2 linked regions of the Sus scrofa genome follow. Each later gene encodes a partner of the first gene's protein in a complex. Links are inferred from orthologs where the notes say so. Each region holds a gene or a part of one and is shown on either strand. Other genes may lie near its edges.

What was found.
Region 2: the proteins of ITGB3 (region 1) and SHC1 are in contact, whole or in part, in an NMR structure (PDB 2L1C), measured with the Homo sapiens proteins. The link is inferred for Sus scrofa from reciprocal best matches to the Homo sapiens genes ITGB3 and SHC1. Residues at the interface, in NP_000203.2 of Homo sapiens: Trp765, Asp766, Thr767, Ala768, Pro771, Leu772, Tyr773, Lys774, Glu775, Ala776, Thr777, Ser778, Thr779, Phe780, Thr781, Asn782, Ile783, Thr784, Tyr785, Arg786, Gly787, Thr788; in NP_892113.4 of Homo sapiens: Ser175, Met176, Arg177, Asn182, Arg184, Thr185, Gln186, Thr188, Arg189, Glu190, Ser193, Leu194, Arg208, Arg209, Lys210, Arg214, Pro215, Leu216, Ser217, Ile219, Met257, Gln258, Ser259, Ile260, Ser261, Phe262, Ala263, Ser264, Gly265, Pro268.

The regions. Positions count from the first base shown.
Region 1 is NC_010454.4:16,714,585-16,723,980, forward strand, and holds part of ITGB3 (integrin beta-3 precursor), read right to left. Parts: intron 8,083-9,396; coding exon 7,830-8,082; intron 6,338-7,829; coding exon 6,175-6,337; intron 5,139-6,174; coding exon 4,977-5,138; intron 1,778-4,976; coding exon 1,682-1,777; intron 1,259-1,681; coding exon 1,169-1,258; intron 507-1,168; coding exon 372-506; intron 1-371. UniProt on the Homo sapiens protein: Integrin alpha-V/beta-3 (ITGAV:ITGB3) is a receptor for cytotactin, fibronectin, laminin, matrix metalloproteinase-2, osteopontin, osteomodulin, prothrombin, thrombospondin, vitronectin and von Willebrand factor.
Region 2 is NC_010446.5:94,819,046-94,829,143, reverse strand, and holds the start of SHC1 (SHC-transforming protein 1), read right to left. Parts: upstream 6,311-10,098; 5' UTR 5,955-6,310; coding exon 5,460-5,954; intron 4,892-5,459; coding exon 4,821-4,891; intron 4,232-4,820; coding exon 4,168-4,231; intron 4,016-4,167; coding exon 3,896-4,015; intron 3,620-3,895; coding exon 3,566-3,619; intron 3,374-3,565; coding exon 3,322-3,373; intron 3,152-3,321; coding exon 3,025-3,151; intron 1,480-3,024; coding exon 1,281-1,479; intron 1,192-1,280; coding exon 1,122-1,191; intron 1,043-1,121; coding exon 908-1,042; intron 455-907; coding exon 216-454; intron 1-215. Other genes in the region: CKS1B (cyclin-dependent kinases regulatory subunit 1), read left to right, coding at 9,613-9,671. UniProt on the Homo sapiens protein: Signaling adapter that couples activated growth factor receptors to signaling pathways. Participates in a signaling cascade initiated by activated KIT and KITLG/SCF.

The DNA of each region.
Region 1 (9,396 bases):
AAAGTCGGTGCTCACTAAGTATTTAGAGGACCCTGTCATTTTATGCTGTGAAGCAAAGAAATATACTGCAGGGGGTGCAGTGCTGGAGACTGGTTGCAGGGTGAAAGTAAGAAATATTTTCATTTGCAATCAATGGTGCATAAATAGAGGTAATGTAAACACAAGTTTTTCAAAATCCTGAAGTTACTTAATGATAGAGAAGAATTAGGCAATAGAAGCCTCAGAGGAGAAGGCTGGCAGCTTTACCACATCTAACTTGTAAGGATGTCCAGGAAGAAGGTACAGGGAAGGAATGGGTGGGTACCCATGGACACTCCAGGGCACAGGGAGGGTTAAAGCTGCAGCTTTAGCCCCCACCCAGCCCACCTCACCGTGTCTCCAATCTTGAGTCCAACACAAGACTTAAGGCCTGGGATGACCTCGTTGTTGAGACAGGTGGCATTGAAGGATAACGACAGCTCCTCAGGGAGGTCACGCACTTCGAGCTCCACTTTAGAGCGGATTTTCTGATCAGAAAAGGGCAAGAGAAGATAAGAAAATGGGCTGAGATGAAATGAGTAGGAGCCAATTCCATCTCAAGCAAAACCTGCCAGGTGGTCCTAGACTCACCTGTCACGCCCGGTGCTGAGGTTCACCTAGAAGCTGCCAGAGCTTCCCTGGGACCCTATTTCCTGCTCTATTTCCTGCCCAGGACCTGCTCTTTCTCCACTTGTGTCTAGATGAATCTGGGTAAAATCTAAAGCAGCTATGCCCTCCTGCAGGCCTCAGGGTCATGCAAGACTGGAGTGCTAACACTGGTCACCTTGGAAAGTAGCACTTTCTACATAATTTTTAATCGACCTCGCATTCCCCGTGGTTCAGCTGCCTTCTTTCTCTATTGCTGGAGCCCAGCTCTCCCTCACTCTGTACCTCACCTGCCCCATCCACTTTCCCTTCCACCTTCCCTAAGCCCTTCCTCCTTTGTTCCGAAGGCTCCCTGGCACTCCTTTCTGAGCCGTTTCTGTCTCAGAAGGCTGCCTTCCTCCCAGTGCTGGTTATCACATGGCCTCTAGAAGAACAAAAGGAAGGCAGGGAAGGCTGCGTGGTGGACTCTCAAATCTGAGCCCTCCAGGGTAACACCAAGTAAAAAGGACTCTTAGCAGGCCTATTCCTGGCATAAGACACTTACGCCATAAGCATCCACAATGAGCTGGAGGACATTGCTGGAATTGGAGGACAGCACCCCCACTGTGGTCCCTGGGATCAGTTCACTGTAGTTCTAGAAAGGAAGACAAAGATGTCCGGGGATGACGGATGAAGGTAGTGGTCTCCAAAAGCCCTCCCCAAATCAGACTGAGGGTCTTGAAATGAAAATTGAGGAAAAGGGAGGATGTTTTACTTGTCACTGCTAGGAATAAATCTAGCAGTTTTTCAGCCCTGAGAAAAATTACAGAGAACCTCTCTCTCACACACATACACACACACTCTCACCCACCCACCAAATTACTTCCCTCCACCACTGCAAACAGCAATACCCCCACCCTGCTAGGTTCAAGGTTCGAGAAGAGAGGCCACCAGGAGGAATTATCAGCTCCTGGATCTTTTCTGGTTGGGTACCATGGCCGAAGCTACTGTGAACTGGTTCCCTGAGACAGGTCCACCCATCACAGGCCCCACTCCCGCTCCAGGAGGGCAAAGTCACCTGGTAAAGACTAACTACACCTTCTGTCACTGCAAAGATCAAATTGATGTTTTTCTGGGATAGCTTCTCAGTTATCAGCCCCAGAGAGGGATAATCCTGTAAAAAGGGAGGGTGTGGAGGTTAGTTAAGACGTCTCTTCACATACATCCCTGAATTCTTAGGTCTTAGCTAATATGAGCTGTGGCTCAGACCATGGTAAGGCTTAAACTTGTTCACCCATAATCAGCGTGACGCAAACACAAAGTAAGTAAGTTGTGAACTCCAGAGATAAATGAAGAGGTACAGGCTGGTGGTGCCAAAACTAAGCACCTTCTTCTTACTTGAATTTGATGCATTCACACCAAGAGCAGCTTCTGTGGGCCAGGTGCTGCCAGGCCACATTGTTTTGAAGCTTCCTTCTGTTTTGCAGCTACTGACAAATTCCCTGGCTTGGTGCTCGCAATCCTCTGTCATGCGATCTCAACCTTCCTTTCCAATCATTCACCTCTCTCCCCCTTCCACTTACCACTCAGCTGGCCCACTTTCATCCTCCCACCTGGAGTGGGCTTTTTGCTAATCTTCCTCCTTCCTTAGGACCCAGCTCAGGTCCCACCTTCTCCAGGAGGCCTTCCCAGTTCCATCCCAGTTCATGATGAGCTTTCCTCCTTAAAATACCTAAAGCCCTTACTAACTTCTCTACCCAGTTAGCATTAACCATGCATCTTGTGTTACTGGTACCACATCTTGTGTTACTGGTACCACATCTCAACTAAACCAAAAACTCTCTAAGGCTGGGAACCTTATATAGTGTCTTTATCTGCCTCATCCCCTGGCAAGGCCCTGCATAGACAAGGTGTCAATGATTATGGACTCATCCATTGCCTAGTTGTACTCAACTTGGATATGGCTGACACCAAGGAACTCAAGCCACAGTGGGAATGCTGGTGAACTGTGAACATGTCCCTAAGATCCTGGACCTTGTAGGGGACTCATGAGATCATCCAGCTCAGACTCCTGCCTTTACACAGGTGTACCTTTAAGCTACCTAGATGAAGTAGCTGCTACACTGTCTTTAAAAGACAAAGTGATAGGGATGGAGTAGGCACAGGTGGTTGTAGAAGTCCCAATAGGGGATCGCAGATAAAGAGGGAAACCTGGGGGATGCTGGGAGACCACTATAAGTTCAAGAAAGCCACCAGAACAAGGCAGGCTTGCTTGACTAGTGGAGGTGCAAGAATTGCCTCAGGTCGTTGGGTGGGGGAGGGATGAGGCCTGCATTCTGATTCAAACCAAGGGCAAGAGTTTGAGGACCGCCCTTCAGCTGATTTGAATACACACCTTACTGGATACTAAGGAGGAGCTACTACTCCCAACAAGGAAGAGGTGGGCCTTTCCAACACCCCACTCCCCTTGGATTATAAAACTGCAACCCATGAGATCCTGGGGGCAGAGCTTCCTTGCCTACCTGCATGCATCTCTTACAAGTATCCTATCTTAAAAAATCTGTTTCTTGCCTATCACTTTGTCTCTTGCTGAATTCCTTCTGCACTGAGGCATAAAGAACCTGAACCTTATTGAGTCCAGACACGGTGTAAGTAACTCAAATTTAAAACTATGGGTTTAATAGCCAAGACATGGAAACAACCTAAATGTCCATCGACAGAGGAGTGGATCAAGAAGAGGTGGTCCATATACACAATGGAATATTACTCAGCCATTAAAAGGAATGAAATACCAGCATTTTTAGCAACACAGATGGACCTAGAAATTATCATGCTACGTGAAGTCAGCCATACAATGAGACACCAACATCAAATGCTTTCACTGACATGTGGAATCTGAAAAAAGGACAGACTGAACCTCTTTGCAGAACAGATGCTGATTCACAGACTTTGAAAAACTTATGGTCTCCAAAGGAGACAGTTTGGGGGGTGGGGGGATGTGCTTAGGATGTGGGATGGAAATCCTGTGAAATTGGATTGTGATGATCATTGTGAAAGAAAGAAAGAAAGAAAGAAAGAGAGAAAGAAAGAAAGAAAGAAAACTATGGGTTTAAGTCCCAATCTGGCTTTAGGCTGGGTTGAGTCCTGGCACTTGTGTTCAAGTCCTGACCTAGATTTTGGCTGGGTTTAAGTCCTGGCAAGTGGGTTCAAGTCCCAATCTGTGTTCTGGCCAGGTTCAGGTCATTAGTGCTGTCAGTTTCAAAAGCATTCACACTTGCTCCTAGATACTCAGCCTTCTGCCGGTCTATACATTTTCTTCATGGTTTACTGCAGTTCCTCTTGTTTCAATGTAAACTTTTCTTTTAACCTTCTATGGACATGGAAAACAACTTATAAGAAGTCCTCTCAAATAAACTAGTGGTTATCAGAAGGGAAGGGGCTGAGGGGGAGGGCAAAATGGGTAAAGGGAATCAACTGTGTGGTGCCAGATGGAAATTAGATTTTTGGTGGTAGCATGCTGTAATGTATACAGAAGTAGAAAAATAGTGTTATATACATGAAACTCACATAGTGTTATAAACAAATGTTACCTCAATAAAAAATAAATTTTTAGGAGTTCCCATCGTGGGCTCAGTGGTAACGAACGTGACTAGTATCCAGGACACTCAGATTCGATCCCTGGCCTTACTCAGTAGGTTAAAGGATCCGGCATTGCTGTGAATTGTGGTGTAGGTCGCAGATGCAGCTCAGATCCCATGTTGCTGTGGCTGTGACGCAGGCTGGCAGCTACAGCTCTGATTTGACCCCTAGCCTGGGAACGTCTATATGCTGCAGGCTTTCCTAAAAACCATTAAATAAATAAATAATTTTTTTTTAAAGTCGTCTCATGTATCAGCTAAACCATCGTATAGTCTTCCAGTTGAATGACTCTGAGCCCTTTAACCCATCCTCGCAGGACTGGCCCTTCATGCTTTTGACGATCTCTGTCTCTTTTTCCTCTGTCTTCTTCCAGTAACCACAAGTGAGCCTGATATTCCAAGAAGGGGCTAATCCACACACACCAGACAGGACAGCCTGCTCTCCACTGGACCTGCAGAAGTCCTCTGGGCCCATTCTGGAAGCCACGATGCTGCTGCTGGGGCTGGAGGAAGTGGAAACACTGATCACAGCCAGGACCATCTCTAATGGTTGTGCAGGTTGTACCCTGGATGAGGGTATCCAGTAGGTGGGAGAATTGAGGGCAGGCTGAACAAAGCCCTGCACCCGGCCCACAGGAAGGGCTGTCATTTTCATAGTCACACAAAGACCCTGCCTGGGTTTGAGCAGTCCTGGCCAGAGTGAAGAGGGGGCACACATGGTACCAAGAATCTCACCATGGTAGTGGAGGCAGAGTAATGGTTGTCACTGCCAACATGACACTGTCCATCATTGGGTTGGACAATGCCTGCCAGCCTTCCATCCAGCGCTATATGGGTCTTGGCATCAGTGGTAAACACCAGTAAGTGGGATGCATCGTTCCTCCAGCCAATCTTCTCCTGTTCAAAAAATGGCAAAAGAGAGAGAGCAGCTTTAGCCATGTCGCTGGTAGAAAACGAAGACCTAAGGAGCTCCCTGCCTGAGGCATTGTCTTGGAGAAGGGCCTCAGTCCCACTCCTTAGAACACAAGCTGAAGCTTTCCAACTCAGGGGTTTCTGTTCTCTTGGGAAAATAGGCTCATAGCTAAATAGTTTAAGCAGCTGAAAGACACATACATCAACTCCAAAAATAACTTTTTCTTTTTTTTATTCTTTTTTTTTTTTTCCCTTGGTCATGCCTGTGGCACATGGAAGTTCCTGGGCCAGAGATCTCTGCAATCCGAGCCACATCAGTGACAACACCATATCCTTAACTGGTTGCACCACCAGGGAATTCCCAAATATAACTTTTTCAATGATAATTACATGGCCCATCTAGAAACCCACCTGCATCTGCAGAGCAGGGCTAGGCTAGGAAAAAAATCCCATCTGGGAGTTCCCATTGTGGCGCAGTGGTTAATGAATCCAACTAGGAACCATGAGGTTGCAGGTTCAGTCCCTGCCCTTGCTCAGTGGGTTAATGATCCGGTGTTGCTGTGAGCTGTGGTGTAGGTCACAGACGCAGCTCGGATCCCGAGTTGCTGTGGCTCTGGCATAGGCTGGTGGCTACGGCTCTGATTAGACCCCTAGCCTGGGAACCTCCATATGCCGCGGGAGCGGCCCAAGAAATGGCAAAAAGACAAAAAAAAAAAAATCCCATCTGAACATCTGCCCCTTTGCTGAGATGAGTTAACCCAGCCTTGACACTTCCAGAGAAGGTGGGGAGATGCTCTCTTCAGGAAACATCGGAGACCACTAAGGTTCCAAAACATAACAGTTCTCACCATGGAGCAGATACAAGCAGAGACTGCATATCAGAACTTCTGGTTCATAATGTACGAAGTTCTGCTTGGTTCCTATCTCTTATTTCACACAGACATTCCCACAGTTGAGCCTCTTCCTGCCCCATTTTGATCTGGGCCAATCACACTGGGCACTCCATGCCCTCTAAACTCACGTCACAGACAGTAGCCTGCATGATGGCATCAAAGCCACCCTCTGGAGCATCTCGGTTCCGTGATACATTCTGCTTCTTCACTTCCTCGTTGAAACGGGTCACCTGGTCAGTTAGTGTGAGCACATGTTTGTAGCCAAACATGGGCAAACAGGTGGTCTTCATACTAGGGAGGAAAGGAGATCATTTAAGCAGACAGCTGATGGAAAAGGAGTAGGAGGGGAAAAGAGGGGGACAGATTGGGAGAGTGGTTTGCCCAGGCCAGCTCTATACAACTACAATTACCCAGACAGCTTAGACTCCAAATCCTTCAAATTACCTAAAGCATCACACTGACTTTACTTCTGGCTAGCTCAGAGGATAAGAGAGTGAACTGTGGAATCAGATTGCCTGGGTTCAAATCCCAGCTCCTTCACTTACTAGTCATGGGACCCTATGCAAGCTTCTCTATACCTAACCTCTAAAAAATTGAGGACATGACAGAACATATCTCATAAGAGTTGTTGGGAGGCTTAAACTGGTTAATGTATGTAAAGATCTTAGATCAGAGTGAGGCTCTAGTTGATATTGCTATCACCTCATACTTACTTCTTTAAAGTAACATTAACACAACAATTAAGTAAAAGTTTGGCAATAACTTACTGGCCCTGAGCTATCAATAAACTGATAGATCTGGGCCAAACAGGAGCATTTCTGTCCCCAGCTCAATGGTTTATCCGTTTAATTGATGGCTGACATCTTTACTGGGGAAACTTACAACACAGACAGAAGGTACCATATAACTTCCAACTCTACAAAGTAAATTCATACCTTGTCAGGCTCATTCAAAATTATAACCCATGAATTTTCTTAGTCTCTGCCAATTAAATAAATAAGCCATTCAGTTGTAAGCCAAAGTCTCAACAGAGGGACACATCAATTTATGCTATTAGAGAATTCAATAAATATTATTTCCACTCTTTTTTTTCTTTTTAGGGCCACAGCTGTGGCATATGGAAGTTCCCAGGCTAGGGGCTGAATTAAATCAGAGCTGCAGCTGCCAGCCTACAGCAGCACCGGATCCAAGCCGTGTCTGCAGACTACACCATAGCTCATGGCAATGCCATATCCTTTAACCTACTGAGTGAAGCCAGGGATAGAACCTGCATCTTCATGGATACTAGTTGAGTTCTTAATCTGTTGAGCCACAATGGGAACTCCCTCATTTCCACCCTTTTATGTTCCTCTAGGACTTAATTCCTTGCATTTTAACTCTGAAGACCTCGTAGTCTTGATAATGAGGACAGTGATGACAATAACAGTGGAACCAATCCTTCTGAAACCGTAATTCCTCTATTTACCTTTCCATAAATTTCTCTCTACTTTTGATCTCATTTCCCTCCTATTCTCACTTGTCTACTCTTTATTTATGACCAAAACCAAGAAGCTGATGAATTTTTCTTTCTAGGTCTCCAAACAGCCTTAGACTCTATTAATATAACATTTTAGATCAATGGGTTGGCACTTGCCAGGCAGGAAGACCAAGGTAGAGAGGAGATATCATTTGTCCAGAAGGCAGGCAACAAAGCCACTCTAGAACTAGAAATAGGGAGCAGGACTTGGACCTGCCTGGGGCAGAGGGGAAGGATGTTTTGCTGGCTTCTAGAGGAGAGACTTACTCATAGCAGGGGTTTTTGAGGGCCTGTGGTGGAGAGATGTACATGTAAGGTGACACAGGCTTGTCCACAAAGGCCCCGAAGCCAATCCGCAGGTTACTGGTGAGCTTACGCATCTGGGAAGCCAGCTTGGTACCCAGGTTCTGGATGCTCTCCAGATCATCCTTCATAGAGAAAGACAGGTCCATCAAGTAGTAGATGTCCACAGGGTAATCCTCCACCTGCCGGACTTGGACGGAGAAACTCTTCGAATCATCTGCAAGGTAGAAAGACGTTAATTCTTTCTCCTCTTCTCCCTCTAAGACTTAAGTAAAGTTGGACACAGTCGGAATGAAGTAACTTCTTGATCAAACTAAACTTGAAAGCCCTGGTCCCGTCTCCTCTCCCCTTGCACTTCTATTCCTCTTTCAATCTCTTGACTTCCTTTTTTTTTTTTTTTTTTTTTTTTTTTTCCCTGTCTTTTTGCCTTTTCTAGGGCCGCTCCCATGGCATATGGAGGTTCCCAGGCTAGGGGGTCTCTCTCATCGGAGCTGTTGCTGCCAGCCTACACCACAGCCACAGCAACACCAGATCCGAGCCCTGTCTGCGACCTACACCACAGCTCACGGCAACGCCGGATCCTTAACCCACTGAGCAAGGCCAGGGATCAAACCTGCAACCTCATGGTTCCTAGTCAGATTCGTTAACCACTGCGCCACAGCGGGAGCTCCTTGACTTCCTATTTTGAACCTTTCCTTTTCCATTCTAAACGTTGCCACCCTCTCAAAATCCCCATCTGTCTAATCCTCTGGGTCTGAAGGGTCCACCACCCTGAGTCACAGAAATGCCGGCAGCTACTACACTTCAGACTCTATTAAAAGCAGGAACTATGTCCCTCCCTTCTCTGAATCCCACTGTACCCAACACGTCTTGCATGTAGAAGGTACATTCTTAAATTCTTGATTTAATTGTGAAGTCAAAATCAAATGCCTCAAGGAGTTCCAGTTGTGGCACAGCGGAAACAAATCCGACTAGGAACCATGAGGTTGTGGGCTCGATCCCCGACCTCGCTCAGTGGGTTAAGGATCCCACATTGCCGTGAGCTGTGGTATAGGTCGAAGACTCGGCTCAGATCTGGCATTGCTGTGGCTGTGGCGTAGGCCAGCAGCTGTAGCTCGGGTTAGACTCCTAGACTGGGAACCTCCATATGCCACAGGGGCAGCACCCCCCGCCCCAGAAAAAAAAGGCAAAAAAAAAAATCAATGCCGCAAAAAGCCTGTTTCTTAGCCTAACCCTTCCTCTGAGGGTCTCCTGTCCCTATTTTCTCTACCCCTATGCAAGCCCCTGCTCATTCCAAACTTCTCTCATCTTACACCTCATTTGAGCACCAATATAAAGTTATACACTGGGTAAAACAGGCATTGGGGAGGGGAGTTCCCATTGTGGCACAGTGGAAAGAAATCTGACCAGTAGCCATGAGGATGCTGGTTGGATCTCTGGCCTTGCTCAGTGGGTTAAGGATCAGGTGTTGCTGTGGCTATGGTATAGGCAAGCAGCCATAACTCCGATTTGACCCCTAGCCTGGGTGTGG
Region 2 (10,098 bases), on another chromosome or scaffold:
CTGGCCAGGATTAAAGGGAACGCAGCTTAGGTTCAGGGATGTGAGAAGGGAAAGAACCCCGAGCCACCACAGAGGGGAGGCCAGGCACCTGAGAGGCCCAGACAGAGGTGCCCGTCGGGCCAAGTCTAGGAAGCAGTGAGGGCAAGAACAGGGCTGCCCGGGAGGGTGCTGCACCGTCCTTCCTGCCACGCCACCCATGCCTCTGCCACACTCACCACACCCTCAGGGTCCACCAGGAGCAGGTGCTTGGGCTGCCCACTCTGCAAGCCGGTCAGCACGTACTGGCCAGGTGTGGTCGTGCTTTCCCGCACCAGGAAGTCCCCGTTGAGCTGCAGCAGTGCCTCGGCCTCGCGCCGGCTCAGCTTCCCGTGGAACCAGGGCTCCCCTCGGAGCTGCTCGGCCATGGCCACCGACTGGGGAGGTGGAGGCACCCGAAGGGCATCTTCGAAGGGCTCTGGGGGTGCAGAGAGAGGGCTAGGAGGGGGGCTGGCACGACACATGCCCAGGGCCCAGACCTTCAGGGAGGGGAAGCCAGGAAGGAAAGAGCAGATAAGCAGGAAAAGAAGAGGAACCCAGGAATTCCCGTCATGGCTCAGTGGTTAACGAATCCGACTAGGAACCATGAGGTTGCGGGTTCGATCCCTGGCCTTGCTCAGTGGGTTAAGGATCTGGCATTGCCGTCAGCTGTGGTATACGTTACAGACGCGGCTTGGATCTGGTGTTGTAGCTCTGGCGTAGGCTGGCAGCTACAGCTCCGATTCCACCCCTAGCCTGGGAACCTCCATATGCCATAGGAGTGGCCCAAGAAATGGCAAAAAGACAAAAAAAAAAAAAAAAAAAAAAAAAAAAAGAAGAAGAGGAACCCAGCGGGAAGAGGCAGGTGCAGGAAAGACAGAGGCGCACTTACTCATGTCAAAGAGGTCTCGGGGTGCACTGCCATTGATAGTAGGATTGGGGGGCCCGGCCCCGGCCCCTGCTTGCCGGGCCTTGTCTAGGTTCTGGACGTTGACATAAGAGGGATCATCAAAGAGCTCTCTGCCTGCTGAAGAAAGGGAGGCTTTACAGCGACCCCCGCCCTGCTTCGCACACCCCGGCTCTGCCCCTCTCAGCCCCCTTCCTACCTGGGCAGGGTGGAGGCGGCAGCATCTGTTTGCGGGCTTCTGGGTCGCCCCCAGGAGGCTGCCCCACAGGCTGAAGGGACAAAAAATCAGGTGAGGCCAGAGGCCCTAACCAGCCACTCCCGTCCTGGGCCCAGCCCACTTCCCCCCCAAGCAACTCACCAGTGTGGCTCCCAGGTGGCTGGGGGTCTGGGCGCTGGGGGGAGTGGGTCGAGCAGCCCCTGGGGGCACTCCTTCCCGAAGCCTCATGTCCACTACCCCCCCAAGAGGGGGCTCCTTCCCCGGAAAGTCATTATAGTACTGATGGTCAGGCGGCTCTTCCTCCTCCTCATCCCAAGCTGAGCCATCGAAGCCAGCCATCCTGGGAGGGACAGGAAGGAGAGAGGCACGTGGGAGGGAGGACGGAGGGAGAAGAGAACAGCGGCCATGGACTGCGCAATCCCTGAGGGGCAGGCTTGACGTGGGGTGTTTTATATATGGAATCATGTCCTCCTCCTGGCAACCCTAGAAGGTAGGTTTCATTTCCTTCTCCGATTTTGTAGATGAGGAAAATGAGGGAGGGTCGGGGGTGAAAAGATTTACCCTGGTCTCCCAACTAAAAATTGGTGAAGGGAGTTCCTGTCGTGGTGCAGTGGAAACGAACCCGACTAGGAACCATGAGGTTGCCGGTTCGACCCCTGGCCTCGCTTAGTCGGTTAAGGATCCGGTGTTGCCGTGAGCTGTGGTATAGGTCACAGACGAGGCTCGGATCCTGCGATGCTGTGGCTGTGGCCGTAGGCTGGCAGCAACAGCTCCAATGAGACCCCTAGCCTGGGAACCTCCATCTGCCATGGGTGTGGCCCTAAAACAAACAAACAAACAAAAAAAAAGTGGTGAAGGAGTTCCTGTCGTGGCTCAGTGGGAACGAACCCGACTAGTATCCATGAGGATGCAGGTTTGATCCCTGCCCTCGATCAGCGGGCTAAGGATCCAGTGTTGCTGTGGTTGTGGCGCAGGCCGGCAGCTACAGCTCTGATGCTACCCCTAGCCTGGGAACCTCCATATGCCACAGGTGTGGCCCTCAAAAGACTAAATAAATAAATAATTTAAAAAATTAAAAAATAAAATAAAAAGTGGTGAATCTGAGAGACATAAGTTCAAATTTGACTTTAGAGGCATGCCCTCGATCGTTATGCTGTCTCCCAAGAGGGAGGGGAAGCAGCACCACTATTTGGGGTGCTCCACCTACAGCATATGGAGGTTCCCAAGCTAGGGGTCAAATTGCACCTGGAGCTGCCGGTCTACACCACAGCCATAGCAATGCCAGATCCAAGCCATGACCTACCCCGCAGCTCACGGCAACGCCGGATCCTTAACCCAGAGACAGAGGCCAGGGACTGAACCTGAATCCTCATGGATACTAGTCGGGTTTGTTACCGCTGAGCCACAACAGAATCTCCCTCTGGAATATTTTAACCTCCCCTAAATTCTCAACACTGCTGGTCTGAAGTGGGAGAGGTAAGGATCTCAGGAAAGAGCCATGCTCCCTCGCCCAAATTCTTGATGGCTTCTAGGGGCAAGAAGGCACTAAATATGGAGAAATGGGCAAGAGAGAGGGACAGGCCAGAAAGAGATGGCTGGGACTAGGAAAGCCCATCCAGCCAGGAAGAGCTGGAGCGGGCGGCCCTGGACTACAGCTCCAGCACGGGCACCCGAGAGGAAGAGCTGGCCTGGCAGCAGGCAGGGCCTCGAAAGGCCTTCCCCATGGCCTCAGGAAACGTAAGAATAGCAGGAAGTGGGAAGCAGGGGCTCACAGGTTATTTCCTTCCCTGCTCCTCTCTGAGCTCAAGCGTGGGAAGAGCAGACCTACTTTTCCAATTCCGGTCCCAGCCCGAGAGCTGCCCCCCCCCACCGCTCGCCTGCTCACCTGTCATGAGGGGTGACCAGCTTGGGCGGGTTCCTGAGGTATTGTTTGAAGCGCAACTCAAAGGCCTGGCCAATGGTGCTGATGACGTCCTGAGCAAGCCCTTCGGGACACTCCAGGATGTGGCAGGCTGGGGGCACAGCAGAGGCTGTCAGGGAACTCGGGGGGAAGGCGGGGGGCACGCACAGACGGGGCCCTCGCCCTCATTCTCCGCAGCAGGAGCCCCTGCTGAGCTCCCGGGTCCTGCTCACCTGTCTCTCTGACAGCCGGCCCCACCCAGCGCTCCCCACCACGCCTCACCTCTCTGATTCACCGGGTCTTTGGCAACATAGGCGACATATTCGGCTGTGTCCTGGGGTAGACAGAATCAGAAGAGGCCAGTTAGCTCAACGGTAGAGCCCCACCTCAGTCCTGACCCCTCAAACCCGGCCCTAAGCAGCTATTGCCTCGGTCCTAGCACACTCACCTCTCTAGCCAGTTTTCCCCCCCCCCATCCCAAGCCCCTCTCTCCTCTCCCACCACCTTGGTGCACTCCCCGACTCACCGGGTCCCCGCCGGACGCAAACGAGATGGATTGCATATGGTGGTTGGCGATGATCTGAGGGTTAGGGCAGAGGATGGAGAAGGAAGGGAAGGACGGGTGTCAGGCAGCCTGAGGGTCCACTGGGCACCCCCCACCACTGGCCCGGGACCCCAGCGTCCCTTTGGCTTCTCAACCCATGTCCTCCTAATCTACACCTTCCCTACAGCTCTGCTGCGCCCAAGGCTTCTCTGCTAAGTTCTTGCCCTCGTGGCCAGGTTCCCACTGAGCCTTCCCATCGGTGTTTCTGCACGCCCTCACCCCCCGCCCTGACCCTGACTCCACCCCACCAACCTGTTTGCAGTCTGCGGCCATGAGGTTGAGGCTGCTGGTGGAGACGGTGAGAGTGATTGGCATTCCAGCAAATTTCAGGTTACTCCTCCCCAGGATGGAGCTGAGTGGGCGGCCACAGGGCTGGGGAAGGGCCCCAGGTCTCAGAAGCTGGGAGATCCCACACCAGGAAACCGCCCGCACTCCTGCCCTTCTCCCCACACGCGCCACACTAGCCTTGCCCCTGCTCCTCCGCATCTCCCGGCAGCATCCCCCGTGCCGTGGACCCCAGGTACCTTTCTCCTCCTTGTCGCCCCCTTCGCACCCGGCACAGCCTCACACACCAGACTGATGGCCTCCCTGGGGAAAGAGGGGTACTCAGACCCAGAGCCTGCCTCCCACTCGGCTGGGGCTGCCACAGGGCTGGGGGAGGGGAAGGCCAGGCCAGACTCCAGGGGCACTCCAGGCTCTTTGTCGTGGTGGATTGAATTAAGGGCCTTTAATATTTGATGACACTGAGAGGCCGCTTCCTGGCTGATTGGGTTAGGGCCTCAGTGGGTCTGGCCCCACCCCCTTCCAGCTACCAAATGTCCCAGCCCCTTCCCAAAGGCGGTGGTGGTGGTGGTGGTGGTGGTGGCGGCAGTGGTGGTGGCGGCGGTGGTGGCGGCGGCAGCGGCGGGCAGCAACCTTCCATCTACCCCCATTTTCCACTCAAGCTCCAGCTGCCAGCTGCCTCTGCCACCTCCCCCACAACTCCCCAGGCTGGATACGTAGAAGGAGCCGGGTCAGAGTTGTCTCTTTTCATTGAGACTTAGACTGACTCTCCTACCTGTCTCTAAATCGCCTTCCCCACCCAAAGACAAGCCAGCACTAGCCACCACCACCAAGCGACCCCCTCCCGGCCTGAATGCCAGGAGCCCTGCGCTCTCGGCCCCGCCTCCCCACGAACCTGGTGACCTGAGTCCGGGTGTTGAAGTCCAGGGCGCGCATCGACTGCAGGACCTCCACACAGCCCATGTACTGAGGGGAGGGATGCGAGGAGGAGAGTCAGCCGCCCCCCTCCAGCCTCTTCACAAAGGGCCGTAGGACTCTGCCCTACGTGGTCCCTCAGGGAAGAAGAGATGAAGTTCTGCCCCGCTGCCCGTGGCTCCATCCCACAGAGTGCAGGACAATAGGGGGTGAGGAGAGAAGGGCGAGCTAGGAGGACCTCCTGCACAGTGGGGGGTGGGGGGAGGGAATTTGGAGGGGAGCGACAGGCCCTGGCTGGGATGGAGTGACAACTCCAGAAAGGGGGAGCAGACTGGAGGGGAGTCACTCAAGAGCCACTCATTCCAACACTTACTAAGGGCCTGTCCTGGGCTTTGTGCTGAGCATGGCAGGCTGGGGGTAGGGGTGGGGGAGTCGCAGGACCCAAGGGGACCCAGACAGAGCTGGAAGAGAAGGGGCTACAGAATCAGAGAAGGCGCACAAAAGGCTTAAGAAACAGGACACGGAAACCAAGGGAGTTGCTGGGGAAAAGAAGGGGCGAAAAAGAGAGACTCATGAGCAGAGGAACTGAAGGGGTCAGGGAGGGAGGACGCTCACTCACCCGAACCAAGTAGGAAACCCCGGGTCCCATGACTTTGTCGTTGGGATGCAGCCAGCCCCGCGTGGGCTTATTGACGAAGCTCCCGTGGCGGGTCCACTCCTCGCCCCCCAGCTGGCCCCCTTCCACCCGAGTCCTGCGCCCGCCGCCTCCACTCAGCTTGTTCATGTCCTGGAGGAAGGGTAGGGGGCCCGAGTCGGGTACAGCTGCCCCGACGGTCCCCTCCCCATCCTCGGCTGCCCTTCCTGGCTCCCCCTTCGGCCCTGGGCGCCCCCCAGCTGGGTTGGCCAGCTTCAGGTTGCTCATCCGGGGGAAGAAGGAGCACAGGGTGGTGGGGCTGTCGTCCCCTGGCAGAGGTGGCAGCATGGGCCCCAGGGACGAGGCTGACGGGGAAGGCAGCTCCTCTGGTGGAGTGGACCCTGAAGCCCCCTCCTCCAGCGATGACAGAGACTCATTCCGAAGTGGGTTGTACTTGGGCTTGGGGGGCAGGAGATCCATGGCTGGAGTGAGAGGGAGGCTGCTGCCCAGCCTGGCCCCCCTGCCAGTCAGGGCAAGGGGGCCAGGCAGGGGGCATCCCCAGGCCCTTAGCCTGATCGGACCTCTGTGGCCCAGGGGTCTCAAGGGTCCTGGGGAGGGAGAGGGACAAGTGGCTCTGGCTCCCGCGGCTCAGACCCAGACAGTTCCAGGCCCCATCTCTGCCCAGCGTGGAGCCTCTTCTCTGGCTGAGAGGAGAACAGGCTGGACCTAGAGCTGCCTGGCTCCTCCCCAGGGGCGGGGAGCAAAGGGGAGAGACCAATCCCGTGGACAGTGCTGACTCACAGGCTCTGAGGGGCTGAGCCCCCAACACCGCCCCAACCTAGAACTCTTTCGGGGCAGAGTGCACCGTGCCCCCACCGCCCGCCCCACCCCCGTCCCCCCCCCCGCCCCCACCCCGGCCCACCCCGTACAAACAACATGTAATCTAGGGAGGAGTAGAGTGGGATTGGAAGGGAAGGATGGAGGGGTGAGAAGGAAAGGAGGGCGATAAGAGGAGGTCTGGATCAATCCAAACCGGACATGGGCAGGTCAAAGGGAGCAGGAAGCTGGTGGGGGGAGTGGGGAATGAGGGAGGAAACAGAGGCAGCTGGGGGTGGGAAAGGGAGGGGATCCCTGAGCTCAGCATTTCCCTTCCTGTCCTGGTCGAACACTCAGATTCCCTCATCCCCCAGCACCCCCTAGTCTCGGTCATTAGCATCCTCCGCTGCAACAGCCGGGGAGGGAGCTACAGAAATGGGAAAAGGAAGGACATGGTCCCGGTGGATGCAGAGAGGGGCCAAGGGGAAGGGCAGAGCTGGTGAAGTAAGGGAATGAAGTCCCTTACTTCATCATCATGATGGGTGTTGCATCAGGGAGCCACCAGGCAGGAGCCGGAGCAGACGACAGGCTGGTGGAGGCTTGTTCTCTGCATGGCGTCTACCATGCCAAGGAGCAGCAACTCATGCCAGGCACCCTTCTGCAGCCCCCCACCACTTTCCGCAGCCAAGCAAGTTATCAAGGGTAGGAGGGGTGGGGGCTGCCAGGGCACTGACACTAACGTCAGTGCCCTGGACCTGCAGGTAAGCTCCTACCCCTCCTCTGGCCGTAGGGACCCTAGAGAGTACAGGTATCCACCACAGAGCCCGAGGCCCCACCCCGCCAGGGGCAGCGTCTGGCTGGGGAGGGGAGAGTGAAACAGTTCTCCAAGAGGAGGGGGACGGGGGCTACAGGCCACGAAGGGATAGGGTAGGCAGAAGACCAATCTGTGCCAAGGGGAAAGGAGTGCCAGGAAAAGGAGGACTGAGGCTGGACACAGGAAACAGTCTCAAACCCATTCCTTCCACCCACAGCTTCACGCCAGCTCTGCTCGAGGGGGCCATGGAGGCAGCTGGAAAGTGACCAAGAAATAAAGAGTGAAAGATATATATAGCCCCCCAGGCTGGCCTCGGAATATCTATCCTTAAATTTATCTCCCAGGATAAAAAGACAGCAAATAATCATAGGATTATAGTGATCAACAGCACCAGCACTTCGAACGTGTCAGACACTGTGCTTATCACCTCCTCTTGGTCCACAACGGAGGAGAGCTTTGCCACTCCATTTGCCACTCCTGGGAAGAAACTCTATGGCTCTCTTTCCTAAGGCCTCAGCTCCCAGGCCTAGAGAGAATGAAGAAAGTATGCTGCCGGAGCCTCACACCTTCCACACACACAAACACACACCAGGATGTGCTCATCTTCAGAGGCAGGCATTTGGTGGCTGCCTGCAGGATCCAGAGGTCGTGGATGACCAACAGGTGTGGGCATCGTCAGACAAAAGAGAGGAAGCAGGGCTCTTTAAATTTACGTAGGAAGAAAAGAGATTGCTACTGAGAGTCCTGGCCTCTGGGTGTGGGGAAGAAGCTGCGTGTGGCGCCTCAGCCCAGTAGGGAGGAGGAGGCAAGAGCGGCGGAAAGTAGCAGGAAATGGCGAAAGCCTCAGGAATGTTTCCAGAAGGGAAGGCTGGGCAAGCGGGAAAGAGGAATGCCCAGACTAGAACTCTGGTTAGGGGGAAGGGAAGAGCCAGAGAAATGCTGCGGCCTGAGGAGGCCCTTAAAAAAAAAAAAAAAAAAAATCAAAGAGCAAAAAGGACACTGTTCCCTAACCCACTGCAAGCCACTTTCTGGTGATAGAAAATTTGCGCTTCTGTCACACCCACATGTCGCACATCAACAAATCCATGGCCCTACCCAGCTCCCGACGATGACCACGACGACGACGATGGACAGGTATGAGACAAACAGCTGTTTCTGGGGTGGAGTCGGTCCTGGGAAGGGAAACTCAGGGAGTGGGGTTGGGAGTCTATGAGCAAGTCTCCCTCCCGCTCTCGTGCCAAACCCCAAGTCCAGCCCCCTACAAGTAGGTCCACCCTTGTAAGGGGATAAGGACAAGGGCTGCCTCTAATCTCTTACTTCTCAGAACCAGAGATGTGAACTTTTGCCTTCCTACCCGGTGGAGCATGAGAGCTCAGGAAAATTGAGCTAGAGGCCCCAAAGAGAAAAAGAACAGGGAAATGTAAGCAGGTGACGTTCCAGGGGCTGAAGACAAAGCTCCCCAGGCGATGACCTGGGACCTACAGGGATAAAGATCTTGAGGGGGCGTGGTCCCTTAGGACGCGTGCATCAGAGATTTCCAGGAGGCCAGGCTTCTGGGCGATCAGACGTGGATTAGGGAAGGGGCGGAGCTTCTAGAGGGGCGGAAACCCTAGAGAGGAGTGGCTTCACGAATTCAAGCAGATCTTTGAGGGGCAGGGCTTTGCCCTTTGGGGAGATAGGCTTTTTGACAGACAGGAGTTAGCGGAGAATCGTCGCGAGGCGGGGTTTCGGGTAATTGGAAAGACTTAACGTTGGGTTTCTAGGAGTAAGGCTTGGAAGCATGTCTAGGGGTGGGACTTCCAGGAAAGCTGGGCGACGGGGTGGGGTCGGGGACAATAAACGGAAAATAAGTCGGGGTTCAGGGAGCCCCCTGAAGTTGGGAGGTGGGACTTCCGGGGAGGGGGTCGCAGGGGGCGGGACTTATAAATGAAGACCGGAAGTAGGGTCCCGGGAGAGGGGTTCCGGGGTGGAGGGGAGGTTCGCCTAAGGAGAAAAAAAAAGGTCCCAACTCACCAGGGCTTCATGGGGTCTCCGCACCGCACCGCGGGTCGATTTGGTTCCGGATCACGCCACTGCCTCCTTAGGTCGCCGCTCCAACTTTCTCCCCGGGCCCGGCCTCCCTGGAGAAACTTTATTGCACTCACTTCCGGCCTTACTAACCCCTGACCCTCTACCTCATCGTCCCTCCTTCACCCGTCCCACTTTCCCAAATCAGCCAATGATGCGCGAGAACGCTCACAGGGCAGTGATAGCCTATAAGAGGCCTATTTTTGCCCTACGTTTTTCTTTAGAAACTTAAGCAGTGCACTCCAATAAGGACCTGAAGAGAAGCAAATCTAAGCCAATCGAAGGCTTGGAAGTGGAGTTGTCCCGCCTTCCGCCAGGCGGACCAATAGGAAGCGCGGGCGGCGTGTTTGAAAGCGAGGCCAAAGAGGGTGGGAGCGCGTGCTGCTGGGAGTTGTTTGGAGGTTGGCGGTGCGGTGTTGACGGTCCTCTGGCAGAGCGATCATGTCGCACAAACAAATTTACTATTCGGACAAATACGACGACGAGGAGTTCGAGTACCGGTTAGTGCCGGCGCGGGGGCAGTATCGAGGTGGTGAGCTTTGACAAGTGTGGGCACGAGGAATTAGTAACAGGGACCGAAGGTATAGAGTCGGCGCATGCGCAAGAGGTTAACGGGAATGGGTGTGCGCTTTGAGCGTAAGGCGCATGCGCTAAGGGTAGGGGGTCGCTCAAAAAAGCCTAAAAGTGGTAGTGAATTTGTAGTAAGCTCTCCCGTGGGGAGGAGGCGTAGGTGGGCGTGGTTAGAGTGCTGACCATCCCCACTCTTGAGGGTTTCTGGATCATTCTCTCCAATTTGCTCAGCAGATTGAACTTGACTTCTTGAGACTGCTTGTATCACCGCAACACCACAGAGCCTCTGGGGTCGGGAGAAGCTCGAATTTTCCTCGCCTCTTCAAAGTGAGGGGAGTTCTGAGAGAGCCTGAGTGG